Linked DNA regions of Daphnia pulex. The protein of the gene in region 2 interacts with the protein of the main gene of each other region in a pairwise test. Links are inferred from orthologs where the notes say so. Each region holds a gene or a part of one and is shown on either strand. Other genes may lie near its edges.

Region 1 (5,924 bases), on a different chromosome or scaffold from region 2:
ATAAAGGGCGGGGTCATAAAGGGTGTGATATAAACCCTACATTAACCCCCAATGAGCCCTGATGATGGCGAATTTGGTCGTTACGATACTACCTTTTATTTCTTCTTCTTTCTTCTCTTTATAACTAATAATCGATCATTGCGCTGGTTAGCAGAGGCTGTTTTGTCTACCAATGGCAATCCGATCCGCTTCGGAATGGAGCGGTGTAAGTGCTAGTGGATTGTACGTCCTTTTGAGGAGCAGTACGCGGGAGTAACCAACTCCAAGGCAGTACATGCCGTCATGACCAAATAATAATGAAAATTGATGCACTACAGATAACAATAAATATGAATAACTTGACACATGAAACCCACAGGATCTGTTGACTCGGCCGTTTTGAAGAACCATATAGTAACGTTACTCCTTTATTACTCTTTGCAATCACAACAGCGTTGCTGCAGGACAGTTCGCTGTTTATGGACGCACTGGAAGCTGGATCGAAAACGTCTACTGAACCACGCAAGAGAAAGCGATCCGCTAAAGATGGACCTGAACTCCCACCACCTCCCCAACAACCTATCGTCGTTCCCACCATCAAGCAAGAAGCACCTGCCACTCCTCCCGTCACTCTGGCTGGCCCAGTTGTCGCCCCAAGGGAGGAAACATCACCGATACCAATGAAACCCATGTTCAATGTAATTATTATTTTTAACAAAAATTCGAAGTTAAGAATTTTAATTATTTTTTTATGCCCCAATCAGTTCTATCAGGACACACTCGAAACGGATGGCGGCATAAAGGAAGAAGAAAAGACGGACACGGTTGTCGCTTCAACCGATACCAAAGAACCGAAAGAGGAATGTCCCGAGAGTCCGTCGGCAGAGAAAGAAGTTCGTGTGAAAACGGAAGTTGATGGTGAGGAGAATGAAGAAGCCAGTTCTCGTGACAGCAGCAAAACGGACATGGCCGGTGAAGAATCTCCCCCTTCACAATCGGACAGCGGAAAACCAAAAGGCGTTCTGGTCCTCCATGCACATCAGAAGAGGCGGCCCAAAAAAGTCCTTCAATGGCGACCGGAAGAAGAATTGGAGATGCATCACTATTTTGAACTCGACGAAACGGAAAGAGGTATGCCACCCCTTAGGGTTCATTATTTGTTTTTGTTTGTACATTTTCCTTATAATTTATTTGAATTGCAGTCAACGTGAACAAATTGCTTTTCGGTGAGATGAAACAAGCCGAGAAAGAACGGGAGAAACAATCGATTCTTATGTCTAAGACTATGGGTAAGTGAATCATTTCATTCGTTTTGATTTCTTTAAGAAATTTAATGATTGGATTGTATGTAGTTGAAGAACCAGAGGTTGAAGAGAATCCTTGGAGAGGGTTGTTGCCTATCGATAATCTCGAAGACCGTGTCATTTTCGGGGAAAACAGTCAAGAGCGGGAGATTCAAGCCGCCAGAGAAAGCTCCACTCTTCAGGCCCTGTACTTTAAAGGCCAATTGTAAGTGTTGATAATCAAGTCGTGGGAAGATAAAAAGGTCTTAATTTAATTGATGTGCTTTCAAATGAAATAGGCTTCCAGATTCCCCAATCGAGGCTGATCCTGAAGTACCACTGGAACGAACAGACAGCGCACCAACCGTTATTCCATTAGACGACGTGACGGGCAATCCCGAAAGCGTCTACGATCACCGGCATCTGCCGTGGCCCGAGCCTAAAACAATGCGGCCCCATAATAGTGCGCCCTTCTCTGGACCCCACCAAGCCCCCATGCCGGCAGCATATCAGTCCCATCATCAGCCTCTTCATCCACAACAATACAGTGGCCCCGGTTATCGAAGTGGCCCACCTGCTGGTCCTGGACCGGTTGATCCATATTACTCGGATCGTGGTCCAATGCACGATGATCACTATGGACACGGAGGATTGGGCGACGTTCCTATGCACGAAGGACACGGAGACATTCCCCATCACGGGGGACCACCTATGCATCACCATCCAGGTGGTAGAGGTGGTCCTCCAGGAGGACCCCGCGGAGAAGTAGGAGGAACTTGGATGGTAAATAACGCAATCTAATGACAACTGTCTACAGATTTATCCTTGAATTGTCTGCTTATTGTTTCACCAGGCTGGCGATGGATCAATTTATCCCGACCACGACGTGTCACAACGGTACAATGATGGACCTCCGCAGCACCGAGATGGGCCACCTCATCACCGTGAAGGATTTCATCATCACCGAGAACGTGAACATGCTCATCCCCGTGATCGAGGAGGTCACGGCTATAATGGTAAATGTTGCTCTTATCAATTAATCCGTTTCTGTCGTGTGTTTTACTAAACATTTGTTTACTTTTTCATTTTTCAGATATGATGGGAGGTCCAAATTCCGGATTCATGCACCCTCGCGGTATGGGTATGGACGGACCGAGACCTAGATTCCATGGACCGCCGAGAGGTGGCGGTGGAGGTCGGCCGGGAGGACCACCTTCCGCTCGTGGCGGTCCCTCAAACCAGCCGTGCTGGCACTTTATGAGAGGATTCTGCCGTTTAGAAAATCGTTGCAAATTTCTTCATCCCAATAACTATAACGGCGCGCCAATGCCTTAATAACAGTGAAAAAAAAAACCAACACATCTTATTAGAAGTTCTAGCCATTTTGTACATTTAATGGGTCGGTACTGTGCCGTTCCCTCTCTGTATAGTGTTTTATAACGAGCTCGAAAATCAATGTGATTTTGTTTAGTTTCTAGTTTGTTCCACTTTATTTTTTTCTTCTTTCAACATGTGATGCCTTTTATTAGGCTGCATTCCCTCGCCGCCATTATGCTTGCAATGAATAATGTAAAGTGTATTTAAAAAGAGACGATGAAAGAAAACTGGGTGCAGTGGGAAAATAGTAAGCTACTTAAAGCTTATCTCGTCCGTCTTTGTATGATTGTATGTCATCAAATTGTACATTTCATTGAAGTCTTTCTGGCTGCATATAAATTGATTTCTACTTGGTGTTTGTTATAATATAACATTAAGCGTGAGTGCAGGAGAGTCAATAGTTGCTTTAAAGGTTCATTAGCTCATGGATCGATGCATTGATTGAGTGCAAGAACGGAAGAACCCATAACCGGAAACGTGGTTAGAATTCTATTAGCTAGTTAGCGACGAGCCCTCCTGGAACTCACTAAGTTATTCATTGTAATTACAAGCTCTTCCAATATACAGTTTATCAGATTTGTTTTTATAATGCCAATAAAACGTCATTCACGTCACATGGGTGATAAATTGGTAGCCCTAATTGCTAATTTGTCGTCTCCCGCGCCACCCACCGAATGAAATTATTAGAAGCTCGCTGGCGCGTCGCTGGGTCAGAGCAATAGATCCCGGCTGGGTGTTCCCTGTTGTTTTGTAAACATTATTGGCGCGTGGACTAACCACAGATAACGAGGCATTGGTCTTTTCCTTCAATTGACATTTGTATTTTTGTTTTAACGCAATCGACTCGCCAAACAATAATGGATTTTGAAACATTAAACAAGCTGAAATCGTCTGGTAATTAATTTTAGAAAACAGTCTTGTTTTATTTCTTATTCATATTCTCCTGGCTTTAACAATTCAGTATTCTCTTTTTCATGTATTGACTTTTGCAACTTGCAGATTTTAATTAACATGACATTTTGTTTTTGCAGGAACTGTTGTTGGGCTTGGCAATGAAACTGCTAGACCAGCCTGTAAAAAATGCGGCTATCCAGGACATTTGACATTTCAGTGTAGAAATTTTCTTTCAACGAATCCTGCTAGTGGTGTGGTTTTGGATGTGAGCAGCACAAGTAGTGAAGAAGACGACATGACCACACCGCTGACAATGCTGAGAGCTGAAGAACTCAAGGCACTTCAAGAAAAGCTGAAAGAGAGAGAAAAAGAAAAGAAACTTAAAAGGAAATCCAAGCACAAGAAAAAGGAGAAGAAAAAGAGAAGCAGAAAAGATTCTACCTCATCATCTACTTCTAGTGATTCATCTGATTCTTCAGACTCTTCAGACGATGACAAGAAGAAGAAGAAGAAAAAATCCAAGAAACACAGAAAATCCAAGCACAAGAAATCTAAAAAGGAAGATTTGTAATATGTTGTGAATTTTCAATTAACATAGGGAAAAGGGGAATCATGTACGGGTTCTGTATCTCTTCTTCTTGTGTTGGATTCAGTTGCCCATTTCAGTTTTTTATGACTCTTGAAGTGACATCCCAGGGGAAATCTATGTAACACCCATGTGCTCAACAAGCATCATCTACCACCATCCCTGAACATCTCGCCCCTTTGCAAGCACATTAAAAAAGAAGAAAAAAAAGTAATAAAAAAGAAAAAAAAGGAGAATTCATATCCATGCGCATTACGTCAGCTTTATTAAATAGCTATAGATCAAACAGATGGGGCCATATAAATAACACTGCGGACGTGTTTGGGGATCTAAGGCTGTGTGCCTATATATTCGGCATGCCGCAAATAATCGTGGTTAATGTTCACCCCGATAGTATGTTTCGTTTCACGAGGAATTAACTACCAATTTGATGAAATTATAGTGTTTTCATGCAGTAATAACTGGTTCAATAATTCGTTTGCTAAACTTGTTAACAACCTGTAATTAGGGTGATTTTTACTTTTTTAAGTTTGGCACAAAAGTGGCCATTTCAAAGAATTGCAACGCCGTCTGCTAGTTTGAGTGCACACACACACGAGAAAGTTTTTAGCGATGTGTTTTTCTTTTCGTCTGGTGAATGTAATAACTTTTGAATTTTTGATGTTTGAATATCGTTCTGAAGCGATCAATAACATGCAGCCTGAAAGAGTGAATGCTGAATAAGTGATCTCTTCATGGGATTCTACTTTCTGTTGAAAGCCTGTTGACAGAAAACGTTCGCCGACCCGATCTGACTGCCGACTGCCATGCCGTTTTTCAATGGCCGATCGAACAAGTAAGTTCCTACTGCTCTACCACTTTCCGTTATCCTGTAATTTCCAAGTGCTCTACATAAATTCAATTTCGATAGTGTTGGTTTCGTAACTGAAAAGTAACAATAGCTCGCCAATTACGAATGTCAGGTTATGTGTATAGATGAAAGCAAGGTGCAATCGGAGCAGGAAATCGAGTTGGTACATTCAGAGTTATTCTCCATCTGTTTCTTCTCACACGTCGGAAATGGAATATGAAAAGCGACTTTTTCTCTCTATATACATGTTGTGTCTCATCCGGGTGTGTTGGAAGGCCAAAATACAATCACAGCAAAATGGCGCCTGCGACAGCTGGCCAAACGCTGACCGGAAGCATAGAGATGTGCTAATCTTTTTTCACATCCTAAACGTCATCAGACACGGAACAAGTCTTCTCCCCCCTTTTCACAGTAGAAGCCCAAAGTGATACTTGTTCCGGCAGATAGGAAATGAATAACGCACGTCTGTCACAGTACATAGTACAGCCAACGGTTGTCTATACACACACACGCTAGGTCGTAGGTTGACATTATTCGGGGCTCTCGATTCAATCAAATGGATTTTTGTCGATTGCATCTACGATAAGCTCCTCTGTTCGTTACGTCAGAAAAAGGAATCCATTTCATCGTCAAATAAAATAAGAAAAAAGAATTTCCAACGTAAAAGTAATAACCGGACGAAAATGTAGTACATCTTCTTCCTTTTTTGGAAATGAAAATGGCTTCTTCATTCTTTTTCAAATATTTTTCTGACTTGAACGGGCGTTGGTAAAGAGAGGCGCTTTTCAATTGTGTAATGCACGCTCTCTCGGCGGGAGTCACTTTTTTTTTCTATTATTCCGCCGTTTTTCCTTTTTTTCAATGCGCTTTTTGTGCAGTTTTTGTTTTTAGACTTTTTTCAATGGGAAAGAAAAGGTCGAGAGAGTGACAGTACCATCTGGCGAGTTGAGATGGT
Region 2 (8,679 bases):
TCCCAAACTTAGGGATCCATTTTAAACCTAAATTTCCCTTTATCGAAGAAATCTAAAAAAAAATTCTTTAATGCTATCAGTAATGGCTACGGCCAAAAAAATTTCGTCGCGATCCGACAAAAATTTGATTTTTGGGAACGCCGAGAAAAAACGCAATTTCCCATAAGATTTTCTCGCTCGCGCTTGCGCGTTCCCAAACTTCGGGTAGGTAGTAACCTGAACACCTTGGTCTTTTTTTTTATATAAAAAAAAATATTTCGGCATTTTTTTCTTAATTCTTATAAATGAACTTTGTAAAACAATTAATTCTACATATAATGGGAAGTCTTCAAAGTTAAAAACAAAAAATATACATTGAACTGGGCTTTAGAAAAAGAGCTGTGTTCGGATTTTTTTGTAGGATACCGTACTGTAAATAATTAGAAAAGAGCGACCTGCCTCCAGGCCTTTTAGCCCCATTCTTCCCTACTTCTGCTCCCCCAAAAAAACCCGCCGCCACAGTTCACAGGGGCCTTAAGGGACTACGTTTTTCTTTATTTTATTATTGCATGAAAGACATTTGTGTTTATTTGAAATAAATATGTGTTAATCTTTAAGACCTGCTCTATTTTTTAATATTTTTTTGTCGTCGATCGCGTTAGTGTAAGCTTTGGAAAAAAATCAAAAAGAATTGGAGGGAAAGCGCACCTCTATTTCTAGTAGAAGTGCAGCCATTGCAAGAAACTCGCGCTATTTCACTCGCTATCACAAATGCAGCGACGCAAATGTTCATCAAAGTCATAACTCATAAGTCATCAAATGGATCATCCGCCACAGCAAGTCGTTCCGCAAATCAATAACACAATGCTTAACCACAATTTTGGCTTCTGGTTCTAGAGAAGATATAAGGGTTTTAACAAAAAATGGAGCAGACCTTGTCTGTGCTCTATCAAGCAAGATGAATGTTGTTCATAATCTAGAAGATGGACTAAGTTCACGGTGCACTCACAATCTCGAAAATCTTGCTACATCATTAAAAGTAAGCATCGTTCCTGAAGATATGGCGCTCTTCTTCCTCGAGTTTGTCTTTGATGAAAATGATATTTCGCTACTCCACCGCGTGGATCTTTTTCTATATCGGTTCTTTATCATTCTGCTCGAACCGAAGCCCTTCGTTTATCAATCACCAAGAAAATGCACAAAGTGGCGCAAATTTCGACTGAAAAAATTTACCATCTCTTCAACGAGCCATCTTAACGTGCGCAACGGTTTTGGTACAGTTTTGGAAGGAAACTGTCATGGCAGACTGTTTTCACATCCCTCTTCAAGATATTGTTGCTGTCTGCCTACACATCACATGTAACGTGCTGGACTTCATCGACTAAAATTGACACAACTGCGGGCACGTGTTGGCACCAAATTTCCAATCAATTCATAACGATTTGCTCATCCAGTTGCATTCCCAGCACGTCGCGTCCCATCTACGTCGAGTTCTGTCGTCAAGAGCCATGGCCAAGTCAAAAGTGTGGAAAGTATAGGGGACTATCTGCGGCCTCGCTTTTTGGGAATTCTATTTCATTTGGACAGCGTCCTTCTCTCCAAGATAATCTCAGACAAGATCAAGATTAATGCGACGATTTACCGTGTTTTCCCTCGTGTTTTCCTTATCTCTCATTTATTCCTCAGTACTATCACGCTGTGCAAGTCGCAACTTTCTTGTTGAAGGACATGAAAAACAATCACAACACGACGCAAATATACATTCAATTGGTATCTCTCTCGGAATTGCCCGAACTTTCTTCGGTTACAGGTGTATTAGATGAGTCCGAAGACCTTCCGTTCGTTCTTCAGCTCTGAATTTTATACGTACCAAAGCTAATAAAAAAGATAGTCAAAATAAAATTATATTTTATTAAATTGTGTTTTTTTTTTGTGGGATCTGGTGCTTTTTAATAAAGTGATGCATCCTCTTATTGAACAAAAAAAGATTAAAAATATACGCGTGACGAAATTAATTATTTTTTAGTTATTCTCATTGCCTTGTAAAATAGTGTAATAAACTATTTTTTTTTTAATTCAATTTTGATGAAATCGAAACCTTTTCAAACTTTCCGCCAACTTTCTTATATGCTTCATTTATCGCCAGATGGCACTTACCAGATTTTTGTCGTCTGCTTGTCTCGTGGTGCCCAAAAATTTCGACACAGGGCAAGACGGCAAGTTACTTAGTTATTGAATTGAATGGTTCAAGTTACCTAGTTTCTTTCAAAAATATTTCAAATAAAAGAAAAACAAATTACAACAAGAAAATGGAGAGTGGTAGTACAAATGGTAATGCAAAAACCCCGGATGACAACAAACAAAATGGACCTGGGTCACAAAAGACAAAGAAGAAAAACAACTCCAAAGGAAAATTACACCCAAGTCGAGTTAAAGCAAGTGCCATTGAGCAACACGAAATCAAGAATTTGCAAATTCGCTATACATCAGTGGAAACATCAGCTGTACTAAAATTTAAAGATATTCCGCTTTCCAAGAAAACCTTGCAAGGTCTGCAGCAGAACGAGTACACCACGCCAACCGAAGTCCAAAAAGAGAGTATTGTTCTTGCCCTAAGAGGTCTAGATGTATTGGGAGCTGCCAAAACCGGTAGTGGAAAAACCCTTGCCTTTGTGATACCTGTTCTTGAAAGACTGTACTGCATGCAATGGACTCGACTAGATGGTCTTGGTGCCCTAATTATAACCCCAACTCGAGAATTGGCATACCAGATATTTGAGACTTTCAGGAAGGTTGGAATCCAGCATGATTTTTCTGCTGGTCTCATCATTGGAGGCAAAGACCTTAATTTTGAAAGGAAACGATTAGACCAATGTAACATCATGATTTGCACCCCTGGAAGAGTCCTTCATCACATGGATGAAAATCCTCTCTTTGACTGCTCCAACCTACAGATATTGGTTATTGACGAGGCTGATCGTTGTTTGGATCTGGGATTCCAGCAAACGATGAACGGTATCATTGAAAATTTACCCCCAAAGAGGCAAACTCTGCTGTTTTCCGCCACACAAACCAAGTATTTAATATGATAACATTCATCGTTTAGAATTTACGCTCACCTTTTTATATCTTATGTAAATTACAGATCAGTCAAAGATCTCGCTCGTCTCAGTTTAAAGGACCCCGTTTACGTTTCTGTTCACGAAAACGCTCAATACTCCACACCCGAGTCTTTGCGTCAAAGCTACATCATTACTCCCATTCAAAACAAAGTCGACATTTTATGGTCTTTTCTTAGGAGTCATAGGAAGAAGAAACTGATTGTCTTTTTGACTTCTTGCAAACAGGTAATTTGTTGAAAAATTTGCCGTTGATTATCAAACTAACTTGAACATTGCCTTTTAATTAGGTTCGATTTATTCATCAAGCTTTTACTCGTCTGCGACCTGGTCTTTCTGTATTGGCTTTGTATGGTACCATGCACCAGATGAAACGCATGTCAGTCTACGAAGAGTTTTGCGAGAAGCAAACTGCCGTCCTGTTCGCCACAGACATTGCCGCTCGAGGACTCGATTTTCCTAATGTTGATTGGGTAATTCAAATGGATTGTCCGGACGACCCAAGTAGCTACATCCACCGAGCCGGTCGTACTGCTCGTTATCAGAAAGGAGGGGAATCGTTGCTGATGCTGCTGCCCTCAGAAGAAGCCATGGTTGAGCAGTTGGCCCAGAAAAAGATCCCCATTCAGAAAATTGAAGTCAATCCTTCGAAATTGGTTTCCATTCAGCGGAAACTCGAAGCCATGCTCGCTCGTGATGTTGAATTGAAACAAATGGCCCAACGGGCTTTTGTTACTTATGCCAAATCAGTTTTCCTTATGAAAGACAAGTCGATTTTTGATGTCACTAGTATCGATTTGAATGCTTTAGCTCGGTCTTTGGGGCTCGCTCTTGCTCCACGCGTCCGTTTCCTACAAAAACATCTCAAGGCAACAGAATCGGCTGCGCCTCCACAAGCTCCTCGAATGTTGAAACCAAACTATGACACCCCAGCCGAGAAGCCTATTGCCGCTCAATCGACTGAGCAGCAATGGAGAAGAAACGACCTGGAAGCAGCTTACGATTTCCACGCAGAAGACGAATTACAGGATTCCGATAGCGATGACGGCATTTTCAAAATCAAGCGGCAAAATCACGCTCTCCCCGGATTCGAAGAAGCCGAGGAGGAGGAGGTTGAAATTGGTGTTGAGAAAAAGAAGAAGGAAAAGATCTTGACCAAGGAGAAAGTTGCCAAACGAATCCTTGCTAAAAAGCTGAAGGCCAATAAAATTGTCAACTTTGACGACGAAGGAAATGTAATACCCATTTTTTACAGAATGATCCCATTTCGTGTTGTTGTATAATTTATTGTTGTTTATTTTGCAGAGAATTTATGACGCATCTCGCGAGAAAGTTTCCGAGCTTGGCCGAGCTCTCGAAATTGAAGCTTCGACATCGATTACTGGTGGCATCAATTTGGTTGAAGCCAAAAAGGCGATGGAAGAAGAGGATAAATACGACAAAGAAATCTTCCGTCAGCGTATTAAAGCCAAACATCGCGAAGATCGACTCAAAGCCAAAGCAGAGCGTAGACTTGCCAACCGGGTAGAGAAGGAAGAAGAAGTAACGAATGTCGAAGGTGAGGAGGAGGACGAAGAGTCTGAAGGTGACGAGAGTGTCGATGGTTCAGTCGGAGAAATTATAGACGCTTTACCCGATCCCGATCGCATCTACGGCGCCAAGGAAGATGATAGCGAAGAAGAAGGTGAGGTTTACAGAGGGCCAGCTGTTGCAAAGTAAGAAATCTCCCATTTAATTTTCGTTTGTTCCAATAAAGTAATTCTGTCTTTATTTAGGAAACGCTCGCGATTGCCGAGCGAGAGTGAAGAAGATGACGACAGTGAAGATGATAGTGAAAGTGACAATGACGAAGCACCTGTCAAGCCTACCCCGATTACAAGGTACAAACATTTGGCTGAAACCAAGTTGGAATTCTATTAATTCTTTCTCATAATTAGGAAACGGCGACAACCGAGTGAAAGCGAAGAACTTCCCACACCTACAAAGACGAAACAAAAATGGATCAAGAAGAAGCCACCTAAGAAACAGAAACCAGCTAAGAACAGTAAATTTGACACTGGCCTGGATTTGGCTATGGACGAAGAGTTGGCTCTTCACATTCTTGGCTCTAAAAATTAAAGAAAGACTGCCTCGTTGTCCATATGAAATACACAGTCAGCTTAATGGATTGAGAACTTTGACATTAACGCGGCTTGTCGACTGAATCTTTTCCGACGTAATTGTAAACTGTTTCATTGCGTCATACAAGGAAAGCATGTTCAAGTTTGCTGATATCATGTTGGTTTATTTGTTTGATTTACAGAGGATATACACTAAATGAAGGGAGAAAGAGATGTGGTAAGTAACGAGGAAAAAAATGAAGACGCTGACGAAGCATGCGAAGGAGTAACGTTGTCCTCCAAATTGTGTGACGAGGGCAACAGAAATAGTAGTTGTAAGAATTTGTTAAAAAGGGGAAATTGGGCATTGATGGCTCCCACCACATTCCGGTTGAAAGGTTAAGTCGATCAAATAATTCAATAGGATTAAGCTTACAATAACTCTTACTAACTATTACTTCTTCTTGGGCACTGGTTTGTTGGCAGCTGCGTTCGGCTTCGTGGCGTTGATACCAGAATACTGGTATTTTGCTTTCTTCTCCGAGGGTTTCAAAATCTAACGAATTTGGAAAAATTTTAAATTTGAGTTACAAATATTAAACATTCAATAGAAATACCTGAAAAGAGCACATAAGTGTTTCATCAACGCTCATCATGCCGCCCGCGTTGTCAAACTCCCCGCAGTAATTTGGCGCAGAAAAGAGAGTAACCAGTTGACGTTTGGCAAAAAATTCGTAACCATCTTCTACGACCTGATGAGCTCTGCAAATCAAGTCAAGGTCATGGCGATTCAAAAATTTGCTGACAACATCAGCTCCGAAAGTGAAGGAAACGCCGCGGTCATTTTCAGACCATCCTTGCACGTCTTTATCAGGGTCGGACCACAGCAGGTCACAAAGAAGGCCTGAATGTAAAACAAATCAGCCACATATGATGTTATATATATTTCAGGTGTAAAAGCCAAGTCGAAGTTTACCAGTGTCAGGTACATCAGTCGGCCTCATAATACGTTTGATTTGGTCCATGTTTTGTAGGTCGGGACTTAAGCCGCCGTGACAACAAAATATTTTCTCGTCAATTATGGCGGCGATAGGAAGACAATTAAAACAATCGGTGAAAGTCTTCCACAGTTTAATGTTGTACCGCCGTTTGCCTAAGATAAAGCAGAATACATCACTCTAAAAAATGGCCATTTAGAAAACGATAGTTACTTACATTCATCATAAAAGCCATAAATTCTGTTGATGGATGCACATTCGTGATTTCCTCTTAATAAGAAGAAATTTTCAGGGTACTTGATTTTATAAGCAAGTAGAAGGCAAATGGTTTCCAAGGACTGTTTTCCGCGATCCACGTAATCGCCAAGAAATAAATAATTTGCTTCAGGGGGGAAACCTCCATACTCAAACAATCTTAGCAAATCTGTATACTGGCCATGAATATCACCTGAAAATACCAAACAGAAAATATAATTTACTACCTCTTTGGAAGTCCCAAGTAAAAAAAATAAGAATGAAATTTGTTAAAATTAGTGCATACCACAAATTTTCAGGGGTGCTTCTAGCTCAAGGAGTATTGGCTGTTGAAGGAAAATCTCTCTGGATTTTAAACACAAGCCCCTAACTTCAGCCTCTGTCATCTGCACAGACTTCCCAGGCCGGCATCCTCTCACTGTTACAAAACACATAAAAAAAAATGGTTAGTGATTAACAATTTGATTTACAGGTAATCACATGACAATTTCATTTTTAGGGCAAGGAACAAGGCTGTGGGTATGTGATATAAATACTCTAATCAAGTTGTATAGAACCTTAAATTATTACCATTGAATGAGACCATTTAGTTTCATTTAAATATAAATAAGAAGATGGGGAAATATTGGTTTCAAGAATTTGTTTAGCGTCACAAAATTGCCAACGTAATCATTATTTTCGAAATTGAAAATTGAAGCCCTTTGCAGTTCTACACCAAAAAAGTAGTCTAAGAAGCTATTGAACGCATAAAAGATGTATCAATGAGACCACTTAGTTCCTAGCTTTCAGACTGCTCTATTAGTTTTAATCAAAATTTTTAATTCATAATGACTTACCTTCTAACAATCGAGAAATAATACTGTCAACATTAAGGTCGTCCGCCATCATCGAAAAGTCAGACGGGATTAAAATAGTTGTGCAGCACCATCTGGATGTAAACACCTGAACTTGAGACATGGCTTTCGTCTGCTAGGGAAACTAGGGCTCGCGTTGCAAGCGTTGGCCTTCGGCTAAGTGACAGAGCTATCTTGGAAGAATTTTGGAATTAGGCAGTCTTGTTCTTGTGCTTCATTTTCTTGTCGTTATTTTTTATTTTACTCTGTAATTTTTTATTTTATTGTACTCTGTATACTCTTCTACTTTTTTAAAACACTGACCATAAAAAAAAAAAAAGAACGACGTTGCATTTATAAATTTTCATTTCGACAAAAATAAACAAATAAGGAAGAAGGACAAATTAACATTTTTAGCGGAAGTAAAATAAGCTTTTTGTCTGGGAATTCCAAACCTGGTCGGTATATACCTCATTTCTCGAAGTTTGGTGATACTTGATGAATACACTTTTCTGCCGTGTAATCAACCTCAGCTTCGGTGGTGAATCGCCCAATTCCAAATCGAATAGAAGAATGCGCCAAATCTTCTTCAGCGCCAATGGTCCGCAAAATATATGAAAGTTCCAGCAATGCTGAGGTGCAAGTACTTCCGCTTGAGAGTGCCACGTCTTACGTAATAAAAAGAATTAGTTAAAATGAAAGGTAGTGGAAGTTGCCTTTATATAAAGTTACCTTTCAGGGCCATGAAAAGACTTTCTCCCTCGACGTAGGCGAAAGAAAGGTTTACACAACCTGGGTAGGAGTGTTCAGGATCTCAATTTCGTACGACATGTGTTAAACTATTACCAATCTGATCGATCAAGCGTTGCGATAGTTTACTAATCTGGCATGATTATACTAAAACATGGTTTTGATCAATTAGTTATGTATGGATACTACTATGACATGAACTAAAACCTTAAGTTCTTGCTGAGCTACTTCACATGCTGCGCCAAAACCAACTGTCACTCTGTCAGTGGAGTAGGAACTGTTCCACCACGTATCCCTCATTCCTGACCACCTCCACTTTGCAGAGCTTCAATCCTAACCCGTGGTCGGCCTATCACGTAAAGAGCACCAACACCTTTTGTTCAAGTTCAAGAAAAGAATGATGCGAAAAAAGAGTGAATTACATCGAAATAACAATCATATATTAAATTGTAAAATACCTTTATAAATCAATTGACATCGATTCAACATCAATTGGAATTTTACCTAGAGCTTGGGCTCCATCACAGTGGAAAAACACTTTAGCTTTTCGACACATAGCATCTAATGATGAAAAAATTATGTATAGAAATAGAACATTAGACTCTACAATGATTATGTGTGTGTCTCACCTATTTCTGCTATGGAA
Region 3 (4,571 bases), on a different chromosome or scaffold from region 2:
TTTACCAACTCCTCCTTATCTTGTGGCAGTATTACTACAACGTTGGGAGATTCCTTGGGCTAAAGTGTTTCCATTACGACTTTTGTTGCGGCTGGGTGCGGAGTTCCGCTATTATCCTTGTCCGCTATTCAGCGTCCGCAAACGCAAATCAGTTTTCGGCGAAGTTGGGCATACTATCGTCAATCTTTTGGCTGTAATTACTTCGTGCAATTTCCAAATATTTCTATTACTAACTGTTTGTTTTCTCTTCCCTCCATTCCAGGACATGAGGAACTTTAGCTACAGCTTACCGGCGGTGGCCGGCCTTGTTGTACACATGGAAGAAAAAGAAACTAACATTCTTTTACCGAAATCTCGTTATCAGCAAGTGTGTAAAGCACTAGCCCAGTCTAACGATCATGTCATTTCACTTGCAGCATCGTTCAGTCCTCAAGCAGATGCTCATCTCGTTTGTCTTCAATTGGATGATGGATCTTATCAAACTCAAGCGATTAACATCCACACACGGCCACGAAAAGGTTAGTTATTCGGTATTTTATAATATAATTAAAAGAATTACTGATTTTTTTCTTCCCTTGCGTAGTTACTGGAGCAAGTTTCTTAGTATTAAATGGTGCTTTGAAAAGCTCCAGTGGTATAAGTGGTCGCTCTTCGATTGTTGAAGATGGAGTTATGGTACAACTCCTTCCAGATATGCTCAGTAATCTAAAACAAGCACTAATTCGAATGGAGAATTACACTATCCAATGCGGGAAAATAATCGATGATCAACCGGAAGAAACGGTTACACTTAAATGGGTAGATCAAGAACCATCTCCTGTTAATCTAGGGTAATTTATCAATGCATATTGTTTGAAAATTTTGTAAATTAACAATTGCTTGTTTGATAAAGAGTTCAATCTCCTATCGATGGTCGAAGCTTCACTGGGATATCATCGATTCGAGTGATGCAGCCGCGTGACTTTAAAGGCGAGGGTCATAGACTTTTGCGTTGGACAGAACTTTTTGTTATTCAAATAGAGGACAGTGCACGCTCTTCCTCTAATAGAATTGAGGATAATGGAGACATCACACGTTTCGCTGAAACTTTGGCCAAAGCTGCATCAGTGGCTCTGGCCGCCAAACTCGCAAGCCTCGAGCCTCACACTTTGATTGGGCTACGTGTTTCTTTGGACGGAGATTCGGTAAATTAGATTATACCTTTTTCTCTTAAAATATCAAATCATCCACCATGTTCGGCTTTGTCTAGGTGGAATATCAAGCAGGAGCCGGACAAACCTCCCTGCCGAATGCATGTGTCGAGGAACTGGATTCATCGCTAATCCCAATCTTACATCGAGAATCTTCAGGTCAAGGAGTTCCCTGTATAGTGGAACTTTGGTTTCAAGTCGTTCATCCGTAAATGGCGATTTCTTTGGCTGATGCTGATGCGACAGCTGTAACCGAAATGTGATTTGGCTTTGTAATATTTGTATAACAATGAAGTAGTGGCTTTTCTTATTGCTGCTATCCAAAAATTTTGTTACTCTGTTGTTATCACAAAGGTTCTATATACTGGTTGCCATTCCCCTCTTCCTTATCTTTTGAGAGAAAACATTTTCCCTCGTCTAAATACCAATAAACTTCGGTTAGTCATCTTATCTTTCCATTTGTTCGAAAAGTTATACTTCCTAACAATTTTTGAAATTAATATTTAATGATTTTAGTCATGTTAGCGTTTCCTTAACGCGAGCGCAAATTAGAAAACAAAATCATCGCACCTAATCTCATTTTCAAGATGAAAAAACCCATTGAAATAGACATTTTATCAATTTCAAATGCAGAATATAAGATGAGTTCATACAAAGATAAGTAAAAACGAGTGCATAGATGCAGTATTATATTTTGTCTAGTTTTATTTTTATCTTAGCTGTTGCCAATCGTAATCAGCTCCGCCATCTGTTATTAAACTTTTGAATTGCGTAAAGCCAGCCAATCAGAAAGCTTAAACAATGCGAACCAATAGGCGACGCTCCTCATCCCCAAGCTTGGGCGCCATTTTTTTTCAAAAAAGGGGAAGGGTACTGACAACAAGGCTTCCCGCCTCATGGAACTCCAATGGCCGCCATTCCCTAGTAGTCGCTCAAAACATACAGCTGCGGTGTGTCCGCTTTCTGAAAACAGTGCTAAGTAATTGAAACGAAACAGTAGTGTCGTGAGATTCTGTGGATTTGTTTACAATCATCTCACCATGGTGAGGTAAAACATCACTCATTTACCCGACCCGTTGCCAACTACGATTCAATACTCAAGGTAAAACGTGAAATCTCTATCTAGCATGCCTTGTTTCCCTCCACAAGTGGTGGGGACGATTATAGCAACAAAGCAGACTTTTCGAGTTGTGCGTTTGGCCCAGTCTGGACAGAGTTTTCGCTTTCTTTTGATGCTAGTTTTCTCTTAGGACAAAGAAATTTTCGAAAAGTTGTATTGCAATTTCAGAAAAATAAGTCAAGTCTGTTGTCGACTTTCTGGCGATTTTTTTACTTAAGCAGGTATACCCTTTTTTATGTTTAAATTCTCAGGAGAGCTGAAAAGGTCTTAGTCTCGCCTGGACAAAGAGTTTTACCTCTTTTAATCCAAACCGATAGAAGAATATGGTTTCAATTGTCTTGTCTGCAGGTAGAAAAAAAAACTTTAAAAAAATCGGTGTTTGGGAGTCAAAGATAACCGAGATAAGAACAAAGCCGGTTTTTTTTCTGTGAAGTGATTCTTATTATCTTGAAATCTTTAATTCAATTTCAAAAGTTATCGTTTCCCCAATGGAAAGTAACTCTTATTCCGACAGTCCATTTCATTTCCTAATTTCTTCGAAATTGGTAAACATTTCTGAAGCAAGTTTTGGTTTCAGCATTTTGTTTCCAAAAATGGAAAGTCGGGCCTCTCTCCATTGGTCATTAGCATTTCTTCGAGACGTCTACGTTTGTTCGTCGTTTTCCATTGTCCTTCTGGCACGGGTCTTTCATTATTACCGAAAAGCACATCTATCACTTTGATCTTAATAGGGAATTCGCTTCATGTTGGTGCTGACCACCTGCCCGATAATTGTGTTAGACCTGGTTTCCCCTCCACTAGAGTGAAGGCTGATTTGTATAGGGGGGTGACAGCAGCTGCTTGATGGCTAAACACAGGCGCGCCCGTATACGGCATTGTCTTTATTTAGTTCCGGGCAAGTTGGGGGGTACCATCGACAAGCTTTAAGTTTGATTCACTGTGTAGTCCCAGCAAAAGAGGTCAAGAGAGCACAGAACAAGCGACGCCGTCTATTTTTTTATATACGAGGGGTAAATATGGACGTCGAGATGGCATCAAAATAAAAGTTGCTCTCTTATGTTGGAACACAAGGGTTTTTTGCTTGCAGAGAGAGGGGAGATTGTGTTGGAATCGAGCGAGGGGGGCTGAATTCAGAAGAGAGGGGCAGCAGCTGTAGCAGATGTTCAATGCCGGCGTGCATACAGCGTCGTAGTGGTAGACTTCCTCTTTTTCTTTCACTCATGGCCGATTATGAAAGACCTTGTGCCTGTCCCACGGTTATCGATCCGTCCCCCTGGCTTTCTCTCTTGAGAGATTCTTCGAGGTTCTAGATCGCGCCACCCACCATAGGGAAACATTCCTTTTATCAGGCAAAGAAATGTGAGATCGAATAAGAGCGACGAGGGTGAATTTGGAGACGGAAGAAAATATTCCGTCTTTGCAGTGGAGCCCAGTCGTCTACTGTTTTTTTTCTTCTTCTATTATTCCTCTACTTCGGTCTTTTTACAGTACAGAGCTAATGTATTCTGAGTCATGTCGCCGGATAATCTCCCTTGCAACCATGTGCACACAAGAGCGTGAAGAACTTTCTTTTCCATTTGCAATCCATTCATTGTCCAAAACCCTACCGTAGGAATTTGAATGGGCGAACTGGAGCCATTGTCAACGCATACCTGTACCGTAAGACGTGAAATAATAACCCAGAAAATTGTGTGATTTTTTAGACCTGCCAAGTAGACGAGATGAACGACTTTGGAATGGACGCTGATAGCAACAGTTGGGGCTCGGATTATGGCGAGGACTTTGGATCGGATATTTCAGATGGTGAATATCAGCCGAACGGCGCCGCCACTGCCTCCAGCAGCGCCCAACACCACCAAGCGAGTTCAACAGCCACCTCCCGGGTTGCTACAAAAACCAAAGGAGGTGCCCAAGCCAGAAAAATGGTGAACCGCGGGAGATGGACCAAGGACGAAGTGAGTTTGCCTCCCCCGCCCACTACCTACCCCTTCAACTTTCAGCCCCAAGTCTTGTAGAGTTAATGATTTTCTTGCCCTTTTTGTAGGATGAAAAACTTAAAGGAGTTGTGGAACGCACCGGTGAAATTTGGGAGAACGTAGCCTCCTTCTTTGAAGATCGATCGGACGTTCAATGCCAACACCGATGGACAAAAGTCGTCAATCCTCAGCTGGTTAAGGGACCTTGGACCAAAGAGGTAAAATTTGTTTATACCTTTGTTTGTGTCTTTATTTTATTTTCCTTCTTTTCTTCTTGAAAATTCC

Evidence for each region. The genes of interacting proteins can lie anywhere in the genome.
Region 1: the proteins of serine/threonine-protein phosphatase PP1-beta catalytic subunit (region 2) and serine/threonine-protein phosphatase 1 regulatory subunit 10-like interact in a two-hybrid assay, tested with the Drosophila melanogaster proteins (2 studies listed by BioGRID). The link is inferred for Daphnia pulex from reciprocal best matches to the Drosophila melanogaster genes flw and PNUTS.
Region 3: the proteins of serine/threonine-protein phosphatase PP1-beta catalytic subunit (region 2) and zinc finger FYVE domain-containing protein 9-like interact in a two-hybrid assay, tested with the Drosophila melanogaster proteins (2 studies listed by BioGRID). The link is inferred for Daphnia pulex from reciprocal best matches to the Drosophila melanogaster genes flw and Sara.

What each region holds. Positions count from the first base shown.
Region 1 is NC_060017.1:4,411,313-4,417,236, forward strand, and holds the end of serine/threonine-protein phosphatase 1 regulatory subunit 10-like, read left to right. Parts: intron 1-432; coding exon 433-677; intron 678-743; coding exon 744-1,110; intron 1,111-1,181; coding exon 1,182-1,268; intron 1,269-1,331; coding exon 1,332-1,488; intron 1,489-1,561; coding exon 1,562-2,045; intron 2,046-2,115; coding exon 2,116-2,278; intron 2,279-2,355; coding exon 2,356-2,597; 3' UTR 2,598-2,993; downstream 2,994-5,924. Other genes in the region: protein SREK1IP1-like, read left to right, coding at 3,497-3,533, 3,671-4,104.
Region 2 is NC_060021.1:5,447,392-5,456,070, forward strand, and holds serine/threonine-protein phosphatase PP1-beta catalytic subunit, read right to left. Parts: upstream 7,426-8,679; 5' UTR 7,408-7,425; coding exon 7,287-7,407; intron 7,224-7,286; exon of another isoform or gene 7,037-7,223; coding exon of another isoform or gene 7,021-7,036; intron 6,869-7,020; coding exon 6,737-6,868; intron 6,644-6,736; coding exon 6,413-6,643; intron 6,351-6,412; coding exon 6,174-6,350; intron 6,102-6,173; coding exon 5,815-6,101; intron 5,754-5,814; coding exon 5,652-5,753; 3' UTR 5,362-5,651; downstream 1-5,361. Other genes in the region: probable ATP-dependent RNA helicase DDX10, read left to right, coding at 2,289-3,055, 3,125-3,326, 3,389-4,333, 4,404-4,813, 4,874-4,978, 5,036-5,216. UniProt on the Drosophila melanogaster protein: Required for cell adhesion in non-muscle tissues and in maintenance of muscle attachment. Vital for larval development.
Region 3 is NC_060022.1:6,348,993-6,353,563, forward strand, and holds the end of zinc finger FYVE domain-containing protein 9-like, read left to right. Parts: coding exon 1-518; intron 519-583; coding exon 584-830; intron 831-892; coding exon 893-1,184; intron 1,185-1,249; coding exon 1,250-1,402; 3' UTR 1,403-1,640; downstream 1,641-4,571. Other genes in the region: myb-related protein A-like, read left to right, coding at 4,032-4,265, 4,355-4,504.